Saccharomyces cerevisiae S288C: one gene and its partners. The main gene of each other region encodes a partner of the protein of the gene in region 2 in a complex. Each region holds a gene or a part of one and is shown on either strand. Other genes may lie near its edges. The genes, in order: MRP2, RSM10, MRPS5 and MRP17.

Region 1 (2,664 bases), on a different chromosome or scaffold from region 2:
AATGGATTGCCGAAGTATTACATTTCTGTCAAGGTGTGCCAATTATTCTTGTTGGTTGTAAAGTGGATTTGAGAAACGACCCACAAACCATTGAACAATTAAGACAAGAAGGTCAACAACCCGTTACATCACAGGAGGGACAATCTGTAGCAGACCAGATTGGCGCAACCGGATACTACGAATGTTCGGCCAAGACTGGTTATGGTGTCAGAGAAGTGTTTGAGGCCGCCACTAGAGCTTCATTGATGGGTAAATCTAAAACGAATGGTAAAGCTAAGAAGAACACTACTGAAAAGAAGAAGAAGAAGTGTGTCTTGTTATAGGAGTGTCTCGATCTCTCAGTCGTTAACTTAGTGGCAGATACTGCCCTTTTTCAATCCCATTCCTTTTCTCATTGTATGTACGTATGCCTTTTTTTGTTATTTTAGCTCTAACTATAGCTACTTGTTTTTCTCCCAGTATGTGTATAATCTTATTCTTCTCTACATATAAGTGTATTGCTCAGTAAGTATTATCATCTATTAAAGAAGAATAAAAATTATCATGTATTTATTTACAAGTGCGTATCCTATATATATATATATATATACTTTCGCGATAAAATTTTTTACCAAATACCCTTCTTAACACCTGGCAAATTACCCTTCAGAGCGTTTTCTCTAAATTGATACCTACACAACCTAAAATCACTTAGAACAAATCTTGCATGTCCAGAGTCCACGCACCTATTTTTGATCTGCGTAGATCTCATGTAGTTTGGCAATGCATTTAGTTTTAACTGAGCCTCCAACCTCAGTTTTGTTGGAAGGTTCATATTTCTAGCGATGAATTTCAAAGATTTAACAAGGATTTCATTCTCTTTAAATTGTTGTCTTTTGAAGTTATCCCTAAGTATGCGAGCATTGATAAACCCTGGTGGTAGCTTGGTTTTTATAGGAAATCTGAAATTACCCATCGGTTAATGTATATATTTGTCAGTTTACCTTTTCTTTCGTTTTTCCTTTCAATCCTCTTTATCGCAGTTTGGTTCTTAGTTTGAATATTCCTCTGTTTTCGCTCTTTTCTCGTACAGCGCGAATTCTCCGCCAGCTTTAGAAAGTTGTAATCATTGGTGTTATTAAGGAATAAATAATTAGTCACATACATATGGTTATATATCGTACTCTATCTATCTAGGCATCTTGCTTTAAAAATTGCGCGAATCGGCTGGCTTCATGAATTCCACACTCGGTCTTGGCCTTGCCCTTCCATCTTCCTGCTCTCTCATCTTCACCTTCCTTGACGGGTTGTGTGGAATGGTAATCACCAATGGATCTATATCCAAGGTCCAAAAGTTCGTTGTATGGTACATTGTTTGCATCTATATACTGTTTAACCTGCTCGAACGTCCAATTGATCAATGGATTTATTTTTAAGATTCCATTAAGTTCGTCTATTTCAATAATCGACAGTTGGGAGCGGGCAGAACCTTGTGATTTTCTTCTACCAGTAAACACAGCACTTATATGTAGCTCTTTGTAGGCACGATGTGCAGGTTCCACTTTGGCCAGATAATCGTACTTGTCATCATCTTTCTCCCATAAGAAATCCCCGTATTTCGAGGCAAAATCTGCCTCCGATTCACATCCATCCGGCTTATATACGTGAATGGTTTGATTTTTAGGCTGGTAGTATTTTTTCTCAATCTCGTTTTTTAGTGTTAAAGTTTGTGGGAAATGGTGCAAAGTGTCTATAAATAATAGTTCTGGCATGTAGTATTTTTCAGATAGCTTTGACAACATATCGATAGTAACCAAGCCAGTCAAACCAAATGCAGTGGTTTGGAAAAGGTGAGGAAACGTTACGATAGACCATGCAATAATCTCCTGTGGCGTTTCCAGCTTGATTAGTTGTTCATTCCAATGATCCAACTGTTCTTGTGTGACAATTATATCATTATTCAAATGATAGGTCTTCATTTTATGAGTTGCTATGGGTTGATACCTTTGCTGGCCTTAGTTTTGATCTTAAAGCATTGAAAAGGTTACAAACAGTACAGTATACTTTTTTTATATCAATATAATACTATCTCTATGAGCTTTTACTTTGTCGAGATTTGCTGAGTCATGTTGTGGCTTTTCTTTTACTAGCCACGTGAAATGATGATAAAAATAAAAAGAATAACGACGGAATAAAGAACAGTATGATAAACCGTAAAGATATTTAGAATCAATAGGTGATGTCCACCCGGTAACAAGATGCCATTCATGTTAAACTAGGACAAATTTCCTTCTTGTCCCCCCACCATTCTCTTTTATCCAATTCTTTTGTCAGCGCGCATTAAAGAACAAGAACTTCGTACTTTTAACTACTAACTCCTGTTTGAGAAAGAGGCAAATATATAGAAAAATAAACCGATAAGATGAATGGAAACAGCACTAACAATGAACAATTGCAGCAAGAACTGGCCACTACTCAAGACCAAGTGGCTTCGATTATTGAGTCCTTCGTTGAATTAGGTGTCTCGATATATGATTTTCCTGGTACTCCAGAAGCCACCAAGGGAATGATCACCAACTTGCAAAGAAATGTGGATCGCTTGTACAAGCTGAACGTGAGAAGCAACGATCCTCAATCCAGCTTGTCTAAGGTGGACATTCCCTTGGAAGTTGTTCAATACATTGA
Region 2 (2,977 bases):
TATAGTCTCACTTTTCCCGTTCCTAATAACATGAGCATTGGGAGAGCTCAAGTTTTTCAAAGAGTTCATTGTCTTGGTAGCCTTATATTCTTGAACTAGGCCAATGAGCACATTGACCGCGATAACAAAAGAAATAACGCCACCAGTAATCCAATCATGCATGGCAAACGAGATTATCATGGATATTAGAAGGACCATGATCATGGCATTACATACCTGATGGAGGACCATTGCCTTGTAATCAATTTTAGTGTCATCACCCAATGTGTTCTCACCCACTGTTTTCAATCTGTGGACGAACTCATCTTGGGTCAAACCTTCAGTTAGACTTGTGCCTATGAATTCAGCGGCTTCTTCTGCAGTCAGCGTGTGATAAGCATTGAATTCTGCATTATTGTTTTCCTTAGTAGTTCCTTCGCCCATCGAAAATTTTCAATTCTGTGTACGAAGTTTTTTCTTTAATTAGTAAATATACGTATTGTTGCCTCAAATAAATGTGAATTAAGTGTGAACAGTTCACTTGATGAAGATATCTGCTTTATTAAAGTTAATATTAGAATATAAATGATTAGACTATTACTAATGAGAAAAGAAAGATAGGAGAAATAGTAGAAATTAATAGTACTCTAAAAAGAAAGAACGGAATAAGAGGAAAAGACCTTTTATCTATTCAAATTGTTTCCCTTAGGTATATATATATATATATATATATATATATATTTTCCCTGTATATATCTATGTAAATGACGAAAACGCATGACATTTTAAAACCTACCCCGGGTTTGACCACAACCCACCGTTCATCTAATATTAACCCGCACCCACCAAGGAAAGAGGCAATAATTCGGGAATACTGCTCTAAGACCTTGTTTTTTCTTCTGTCAGGTGAAAGTATATGACCAAAATCTACATCCCTGCCCTAACAAACGTCATAGAAGTAGGAAATAAATGATGAGCCCCGCAAAATGACGCCGCACGGCGATGTTTAAGACCCTGTACTCACAATGTAACCACTTCGTGCAGAAGCTTCTGGGAGGAAAGGGTCCGTACATGAATTATCACACCCACACCCCTCATTCAATCCTTCTACCGCGCATGGTAATCAATCATAACAGGAAGCGATAAGAAAGTTTACATTGCACAGCCACCCTCATTGCCTCTGTGATTGAAGATCTGGGAGTGGGGCTAAAGGTGCAACTTCCGTACAAGAGTGACGAGATAAAGGATTTTCCACGGAATGGCTGACAAAATTCGGGGCTTGTGTGAGTTCCACGTGCGGATGACTTAATAAGCTCAGTGATTGTACTTTTGACATGATTGATGAACGGCTAGAGATAGCCACCGAGTGGCTACTTAGTAATAACCAGCGTAGGAAACAATTACGGATTTTGTTATCGTTCACCGATAACCCTAAAATATTGACCACACTGGTAGTCATTAGAATTTAACCAAGAGGGTAGCTTAGTTCGACCGATAATCAATATTACTGAAGTCTTATCAAATTCTGACTCTTGCCATACCGTTTCTTATCGTCACTGTTTAATCCGGAAATTAGTCATGTATCCACACATCCTTTATTAACAGCAGAGAGATTGGGCAAGAATGTTAGCAAACTATGTACCAGGCGGGTAATACCTGTACATCTATTTTCTTTTGAAAAGGAAAAAATGCAAGAAAGGGCATGAAATGAAACTATTTGGTACAAATTAGAATTATGCGAACCGTGCAAAATCAGAAAAGGGGGAAAAACATTGGCCAATGCTTAGAAATACCATTGCATTAAGATCATTTATCAGAACACAGTCGACGCGCCCATATCCTGTAAATGTAGAGGCAGTCTACTATGCTCCTTTAAAGTTACCTATCAAATATGGTGATTTAGTTGCAGACATTCAGTTAAGATCGTATGACAATGAAAACCTCGATTTTTATTCAGACTTCATACTTAGAACAGGTTACTATTTGGGTATCCCATTGACAGGTCCTAAACCTTTGCCCACGAGAAGAGAAAGGTGGACTGTAATAAAATCACCTTTCGTGCACGCTAAATCCAAAGAGAATTTTGAAAGACATACACATAAGAGGCTCATTAGGGCCTGGGATACGAACCCCGAAGTGCTACAGATGTTGATAGCTTACATTACGAAGCACTCTATGGCAGGCGTCGGAATGAAATGTAACTTCTTTCAAAGGTCCGAAATATCGCTGGACTTGGGTTCGGACGCCAATGGCCTCGAAAAATCACTAAGCAATATCGATGAATTGTATTCTCTGAGAAACGATGATAAAGCTCAAACTAGTGCTGTCGGACAAAAAGTATTGGAACTATTGGATAGCCCCGATTTTAAAAAACATTTGGAAAAGAAGTAAAAAGATGATGGCAATCCTATAATTACGCTGGTTCTTGGGACCGAAAAGATTTCGTACTTGTAAATAAAATAGGTGAAGAAGAGGGGCAAAAAGTAGTAGATTAAATGGTTATACTGAATTTATAAGTAAGTTTAATTATATTTTTTAACTATATGATGAACAATTTTGTACTAATATTGCGGCCCGTTATGAGTATTGCTCTTGCCATAAAAGTGTGTTCACTGCTTTGTTTCCTGGTACTGCATACCGCTTAATATTGTTATCGCTCAATAAATTTAGTTTCTGGAAGCTTTCCAAGGACTTACCAGGTAGCGGGCCTGAGAATCTATTTTTTAGTCCATCGGCTACAAAAATCGGTAGTATATTTGTTCTTGGTAAGTAAGCTTTGCTAAAGGAAAGTGTCCTTTTTCTGTTTGTATTCTTCTTCGAATTCCACCTGAAATGTTGGACATTCAGGGATGTGTGTAACCGATACTTCTGGTCAGAGAGTTTGTATACAATATACTCCGCTAATCTGAAAATGGTAAAAAATAATATAAAAACATTCTTGGTAGCAGATATGGAATCTGAATTCATATTGAGAAAGTTTCGCTCAGTACTCCAACTA
Region 3 (3,086 bases), on a different chromosome or scaffold from region 2:
TTAACTTCACCGGTGTAATCTCTGTCGACAACACCAGCACCGGTTTGGATACCGTTTTTCACTGCCAGGCCTGACCTTGGCGCAATACGACCGTAGGTACCAACAGGTACGGTGAACGATATGTCGGTGGAAACCATACCTTGACCCATAGCCGGAATGGTAATATCCTGAGATGCATAAATGTCGTATCCCGCGGCAGTGGCAGAACCTTTGGTAGGTACAGTAGCGCTTGCTGAGCGCAATTGAATCTTTAGTACTTTGTCGCTAGTAGCAGTCATTTGGTTATTTTTTGGCTCGCTGTATCAGTGCAAACATCTCATTCGAGAACTTAGTTGTTTCTACTTATTAAATGGTAGCGCGTAATATTTTTCCTTTTATAATTTTCAATGGTAGTAAATCAGAAATTATGGAAAAAAAATAAAACTTGGACAGAAAAAAATATTGCTATGAAGAAAAATTGAATATGCTTATCAGCTCATTTGATTGAGTATGTTGAGATATTTACAGGTATTATTATTGCTGTATTTACTTATGTAAAACGAGAGATAATGGTGCGTGTGTATGTACATAGTATTTCAGCTTGAATAGTAAACTTTCCTGACATCAACAAGCTTTTTGCCTCTACCCAGGGCAACCTCATCCAATGTCTTTTGAGCTTTCGTGAAAGCCTCGATGGTACCTTTAGCTATATTCATATCGTTTCTGGATTTATATACTTTCCCACTCAGATCTTTGATACCTGCACATTCACAAATCTCAAAGATTACATGGTTTACACGTAATCCAAACCCTGGTTTTGCACTTCTTAAATGTAGTTTCACACCATGATACCTAAAATCTATATCACCATAAATAGTTCTGTTTTCATACCTAGGTATTTCCTTCAGGTTCCTTACCGCATCCCAATGAGCTTTAAAGATCGCTTTGGACATTTCTTCACGAGATTTACCTTCTCCCAAACCTACCATACCGTTTTTGTCACCAACGACAACCAAGGCATAGAAAGACGCAATTTTACCCTTCCCAGTCTGATTTGACACTCTTTTCATCACCAGCGGCTTCATAGTCAACTTTCTAGTGATATAATCCGGATCTACACCGGTTTGCTTGTGTAGCCCTGCAGCTACATCGGCGCTTTTCGATTTCCGACCACCATCGTTTGGTAAGCTGACTCCTGGAGGCAGAATGTTACCTTCGCCTGGTAATGGTTGTTGTACCTGGTCCCATCTAAAGATGCTGAAGTTATTATTCTCCTCTTGAGCGTGGAGATGGGGCATGCCTGGTTTGTAATCCCAAAAAGGATGTATTTTGGTAAAATCATCCAAATATGGTGGTGCGAATTCCACGTTACGAGATACTCTGAATTTAGTATCTTCTGGTATCGTTTGTTGAGCAAGTTTTATGGATTTTAAAAGACTTTCAGGATAGTACCTTGATAATAGCGACTCATCATAATGCTGTAGATAACGAACACTAGTCGATAATTGCCTCTTGAACATCTTTACCTATTGATCTATGAAATCTGTTTCTTGTATGGTTTACCGTCTACTTTGACAACAATAACGATAGGTCTTTTAGTGGTGCTTGTATTATTGTCTTGTCAATTCGTCTTTTTTTTTTTTTCACTTTAAGGAACTTTACTCCGCGAATAAAAGAAAGCATCACCATGTAATGAAATATATGGGATACATAAATGTATGGGATACATACGACTGTTACTTGCTACCTCATTTGGAGATCACTAGCTCAGTTGTAAAACTTTTCCATTTGATTGAATAAACTCTAACCTTTTTCATACTGGTAGTAAAAGTCAAACCTACGAAAGTTCACATAATAAGGCCTTCACGCCAAGAGAGTCTAGTGTAGTGTTCTTCAGCTCCTATTGATATACTTTTAGTGCCCAAACACGGGATGTTTCAAGTAATTTTTCCTTCTCTAATTTGACAAGGGAAAATATGGCTAGTAATTCTTGTAAAAATGTCTTCTCCTCAGAGTGGGCGGTGCTTATGTATTAGAACCGGTCGAAATATCATAATATACACCGGCCAGTAGAGAACGGACATGGCGACTTGATACATAAAATGTCTATCTCGGAAGCTGATCAACTTGTGAAGTAGTATTATAGATATCAGCGTGCAAGATACTTACAAAAAGAGAGACCTGTAAATTTATTGTTACGTAAATACATAGTAGAATAAGAAACTAATAAAAAATAGTATATGTATATCATGCAAATAAAAAAAAAAAGGATAAAATAGAGGCGTTGTTCTGAGGTACCGAACATTCATAAGCTATTCTCACCTGCTACCATAGAATATAGTGGGGGTTCATCTTGTAGATCACTAATATTTTCAAATTTTTCATATTTGGGTAACAAAGAGCTGGTCGAAATATCACTATCGCCAACTAAAATTGGAAAATTCACCGTAATACGATAATTTTTTTTCATTTCAAGCCCTTCCACCAATTCATTCCTGCTATAGGTTATTCTGAACAAAAGCAAATGAGTTACTTTGAGGGCAGCATGATTGGGATAAAATGAACTTGGTTCACAGTAGAATGTTTTAAACCAGCTCGGTAGACCATCCGCATAGGTTGGGATGACAACGTCATCAAAGCAAAATCCGAAAATGGTCTTGTCGGAATCGAAACTTTGGCTTTCTACAGTTCTTAGTAAATACTCGGACTTTTTAATGTATGGCTCTCGTAGTATTTTCTTGGTCTTCAAATCAATACTTGGTATTGCCATTCTCTGTGCAACTGCCAAAGAAGCTTCCTGTAATTCAATGGAAGAATCTGTTTTGGTAATTGATAATATCATTTGGAAAGGCATACCAATTTCAATCAACTTGGAGTTTCCAATGACCGATACTACGATCTCACTTGCAGTATTGTATGACCTTAATTGAAATGTTTCAAACTTAAGCATACTCGTTGAAGGCAGGACTCTTTTAACTTTAATTTCTTCTGTTAAAATGATCTTATCTGTAAAACTTTCATTCTTCAAAAATTTGAGTAAGTTTTTAGGTTTACTTGGTATTCTCATTATTGTTGTTAAGCTTTCTATTCGAAAATGGGTCTTGCCA
Region 4 (2,853 bases), on a different chromosome or scaffold from region 2:
TCTCTTTGTTCGAACTTGACATCAAGAAAAGTTGGAATTATTTCTCCAAGCACACTGTACACCAATGGCTACTAATATTACTTGGCATCCAAATCTTACTTACGACGAACGCAAGGCATTGAGAAAACAGGACGGTTGTACTATTTGGTTAACAGGTCTAAGTGCGTCAGGTAAAAGTACAATCGCCTGTGCGCTAGAACAGTTACTGCTCCAAAAAAACTTGTCTGCATATAGATTGGATGGTGACAACATTCGTTTTGGATTGAACAAGGATTTGGGTTTCTCAGAAAAGGACAGAAATGAAAACATTCGTAGAATTAGCGAAGTTTCTAAGCTATTTGCTGATTCATGTGCTATTTCAATCACCTCATTTATCTCTCCATACAGAGTTGACAGAGATAGAGCTCGTGAACTACATAAGGAGGCTGGTTTGAAGTTCATTGAAATATTTGTTGATGTTCCATTAGAAGTCGCTGAGCAAAGGGACCCTAAGGGTTTATACAAGAAAGCTAGGGAGGGTGTAATCAAGGAGTTTACAGGTATTTCTGCCCCATATGAAGCGCCAAAAGCTCCAGAGCTACATTTGAGAACCGACCAGAAGACGGTTGAAGAATGTGCTACCATTATTTATGAGTACTTAATCAGTGAAAAAATCATCCGTAAGCATTTGTAATTTGACCGATTACTGTACATTTAATGATATATAAAAGATGTATATATATAATATAGAACATATTTATTCGAGGATTCATTCGAAAAAAAAAGAAAACTTTAGTGACGAGATTGAGTAAAGTGAAAAACTGAACAAATTTTCGGAAGCCTTTTGATTCTAAGTGCCTACTTTGATATCAGTAGTTGATGTATTATAGTATAGACCTATTATTCATTAAATATACTCAGAGCGCTCAAGTCTGCTTCTTCAAAGTGTTCAACCGAGCTTGCAAGTCATCGTCAGGATTACCGTGAAATTCTGATCCGGCGCCAATAGGTTCAGGAATCCCCATCGCTGTTTCTGCGATCGGCGCATTAGAAACCAGATTTTGAGGCGTGCTTTGCAACTGTGAATTCAAATCCACTCCAATCTCATCAAGAACTTTATTTACAATTTCGTCAGCTTCTTCGTCTTCATCCACCTCATCACCCATGACGTTATCAATAGCTTCGTCCATGAATTCCTGTCGTTGACCCATCAAATCACTCTGCTTTTCAAACTCCATCGATATCCTTTGCAACTGAGGTAGATTCATTGTTCTGTTCATTCCAGCCAAAAGACCAGTGGCCTCGCTCATAGAACGTGTCATTTGGTCACTACTTCGAACGGCCTGTATTCTCAATGATATCGCCTGAAGTTGAGCTTTCATGTTGTCAAATTTTTGGATGTAATTCCGGGTTCTTACTAAATCTTTTGCTTGAACTTTCGCAGCTGCAACTTGCCCATTCTTTGCCGATTTTTTAATTTCTGATACAAGTTTTTTATCTTGTAGTTCCAATTTTCTCTTTTCTCTTTCAAGCTCCCTCTGAGTCCTTTCTAAAGCCCTTTGATTCTAAAAACTCAAATAATTAACGTTAGTATGTTCACTAAAATAACTGATCCAAATACAGAACAACATACTTTTTTTAACCTCTCTTGCGGAGTGACATTCTTTCCAAATACCCACTCAAACAAACTCATTGTTTAACGTTCTGTGTCCAAGGGTGAAACAATCAGCCTTGAAGTACACTGGTCACAAATACGCTTCAACTGAATACGCATAATTCGAAAGGATGATTTCTGATTAGGAGGAGACGAAGTCCCTTTAATGCTGATTTTATCTATCTTTTCGCAGTTATCATCTAACCCGGAAAAGTTTCAACAAGACTTTAGCCTTTTAATGGAAACTCCCACTAGTTCAGCTTAAACAAAATAGAAAAGCTTCAACAGAGGAAAGAATAACGCAAAACCACCCTTTTCACTAAGATGCTTTATGAGCTGATCGGACTTGTTCGCATAACCAACTCCAATGCGCCAAAGTTGGAAGCAAAAGAATTGTCTTCCACAATCGGGAAACTGATTATTCAAAACAGAGGTGTGGTGAGGGACATTGTACCCATGGGCATAAGGTATCTTCCTAAAATAATGAAGAAAGACCAGGAAAAACATTTTCGAGCATATCACTTTTTAATGCTGTTTGATTCATCAGCTGCGGTACAGTCTGAAATTCTAAGAACTTTAAAGAAAGATCCCCGTGTCATAAGATCATCCATCGTTAAAGTTGATTTAGATAAGCAGCTGGATAGAGCCTCATCGTTACACCGTTCTTTGGGGAAGAAGTCTATTTTAGAATTAGTGAATGAAGATTATCAATCCATTTAGGTATAGCGCACAGGTTTTGACTGGGGACGCTACAAACACATGTAAATACATACATATCTTTCATACACATATAATAAACAAAGCAGGAAGAGCATTCTAAAAGCCTCACTTAACATAGACACCATTAAAAGCCACCCATTTATTTCAAAAATTTATAAAATTCTAAAGATAATCAGTGGTATGTGATTAAATAAACTACATGTATATTATGCTAAACGACAATCCTGACTAAGAAAAAGAAAGAAAAAGATATATATTTATATGTATCTACATAAGACCAACCGTATCCGTAATTGCAGATAAAATACTCATTAAGCCCTCTTTACACCTAGTGACGTTATAGACGTGGCGGACGAACGAGAAACAGAAGTAGATCCATCAAATAACGAAGGGCTTACACTGGGTTCATCAGTCATATTAAGATCAAAGTCAAGTTCCAAGTTGGACAAAGGGACACTTTCGATATCGTTTGAATCTGCAGCCAATGGATCACTCTTTGA

The links.
Region 1: RSM10 (region 2) and MRP2 share a complex: the UniProt entries of both Saccharomyces cerevisiae proteins name them as parts of the mitochondrial small ribosomal subunit.
Region 3: RSM10 (region 2) and MRPS5 share a complex: the UniProt entries of both Saccharomyces cerevisiae proteins name them as parts of the mitochondrial small ribosomal subunit.
Region 4: RSM10 (region 2) and MRP17 share a complex: the UniProt entries of both Saccharomyces cerevisiae proteins name them as parts of the mitochondrial small ribosomal subunit.

The regions. Positions count from the first base shown.
Region 1 is NC_001148.4:875,675-878,338, forward strand, and holds MRP2 (mitochondrial 37S ribosomal protein uS14m MRP2), read right to left. Parts: upstream 956-2,664; coding exon 608-955; downstream 1-607. Other genes in the region: Rho family GTPase RHO1, read left to right, coding at 1-323; MET16 (phosphoadenylyl-sulfate reductase (thioredoxin)), read right to left, coding at 1,173-1,958; mediator complex subunit NUT2, read left to right, coding at 2,402-2,664. UniProt on the Saccharomyces cerevisiae protein: Component of the mitochondrial ribosome (mitoribosome), a dedicated translation machinery responsible for the synthesis of mitochondrial genome-encoded proteins, including at least some of the essential transmembrane subunits of the mitochondrial respiratory chain.
Region 2 is NC_001136.10:538,045-541,021, forward strand, and holds RSM10 (mitochondrial 37S ribosomal protein uS10m RSM10), read left to right. Parts: upstream 1-1,758; coding exon 1,759-2,370; downstream 2,371-2,977. Other genes in the region: Na(+)/Li(+)-exporting P-type ATPase ENA1, read right to left, coding at 1-423; YDR042C (uncharacterized protein), read right to left, coding at 2,557-2,977. UniProt on the Saccharomyces cerevisiae protein: Component of the mitochondrial ribosome (mitoribosome), a dedicated translation machinery responsible for the synthesis of mitochondrial genome-encoded proteins, including at least some of the essential transmembrane subunits of the mitochondrial respiratory chain.
Region 3 is NC_001134.8:719,803-722,888, reverse strand, and holds MRPS5 (mitochondrial 37S ribosomal protein uS5m MRPS5), read right to left. Parts: upstream 1,500-3,086; coding exon 576-1,499; downstream 1-575. Other genes in the region: DUT1 (bifunctional dITP/dUTP diphosphatase), read right to left, coding at 1-278; SPO23 (Spo23p), read right to left, coding at 2,285-3,086. UniProt on the Saccharomyces cerevisiae protein: Component of the mitochondrial ribosome (mitoribosome), a dedicated translation machinery responsible for the synthesis of mitochondrial genome-encoded proteins, including at least some of the essential transmembrane subunits of the mitochondrial respiratory chain.
Region 4 is NC_001143.9:436,597-439,449, reverse strand, and holds MRP17 (mitochondrial 37S ribosomal protein bS6m MRP17), read left to right. Parts: upstream 1-1,957; coding exon 1,958-2,353; downstream 2,354-2,853. Other genes in the region: MET14 (adenylyl-sulfate kinase), read left to right, coding at 65-673; ESCRT-III subunit protein DID4, read right to left, coding at 906-1,544, 1,613-1,672; AUR1 (inositol phosphorylceramide synthase), read right to left, coding at 2,665-2,853. UniProt on the Saccharomyces cerevisiae protein: Component of the mitochondrial ribosome (mitoribosome), a dedicated translation machinery responsible for the synthesis of mitochondrial genome-encoded proteins, including at least some of the essential transmembrane subunits of the mitochondrial respiratory chain.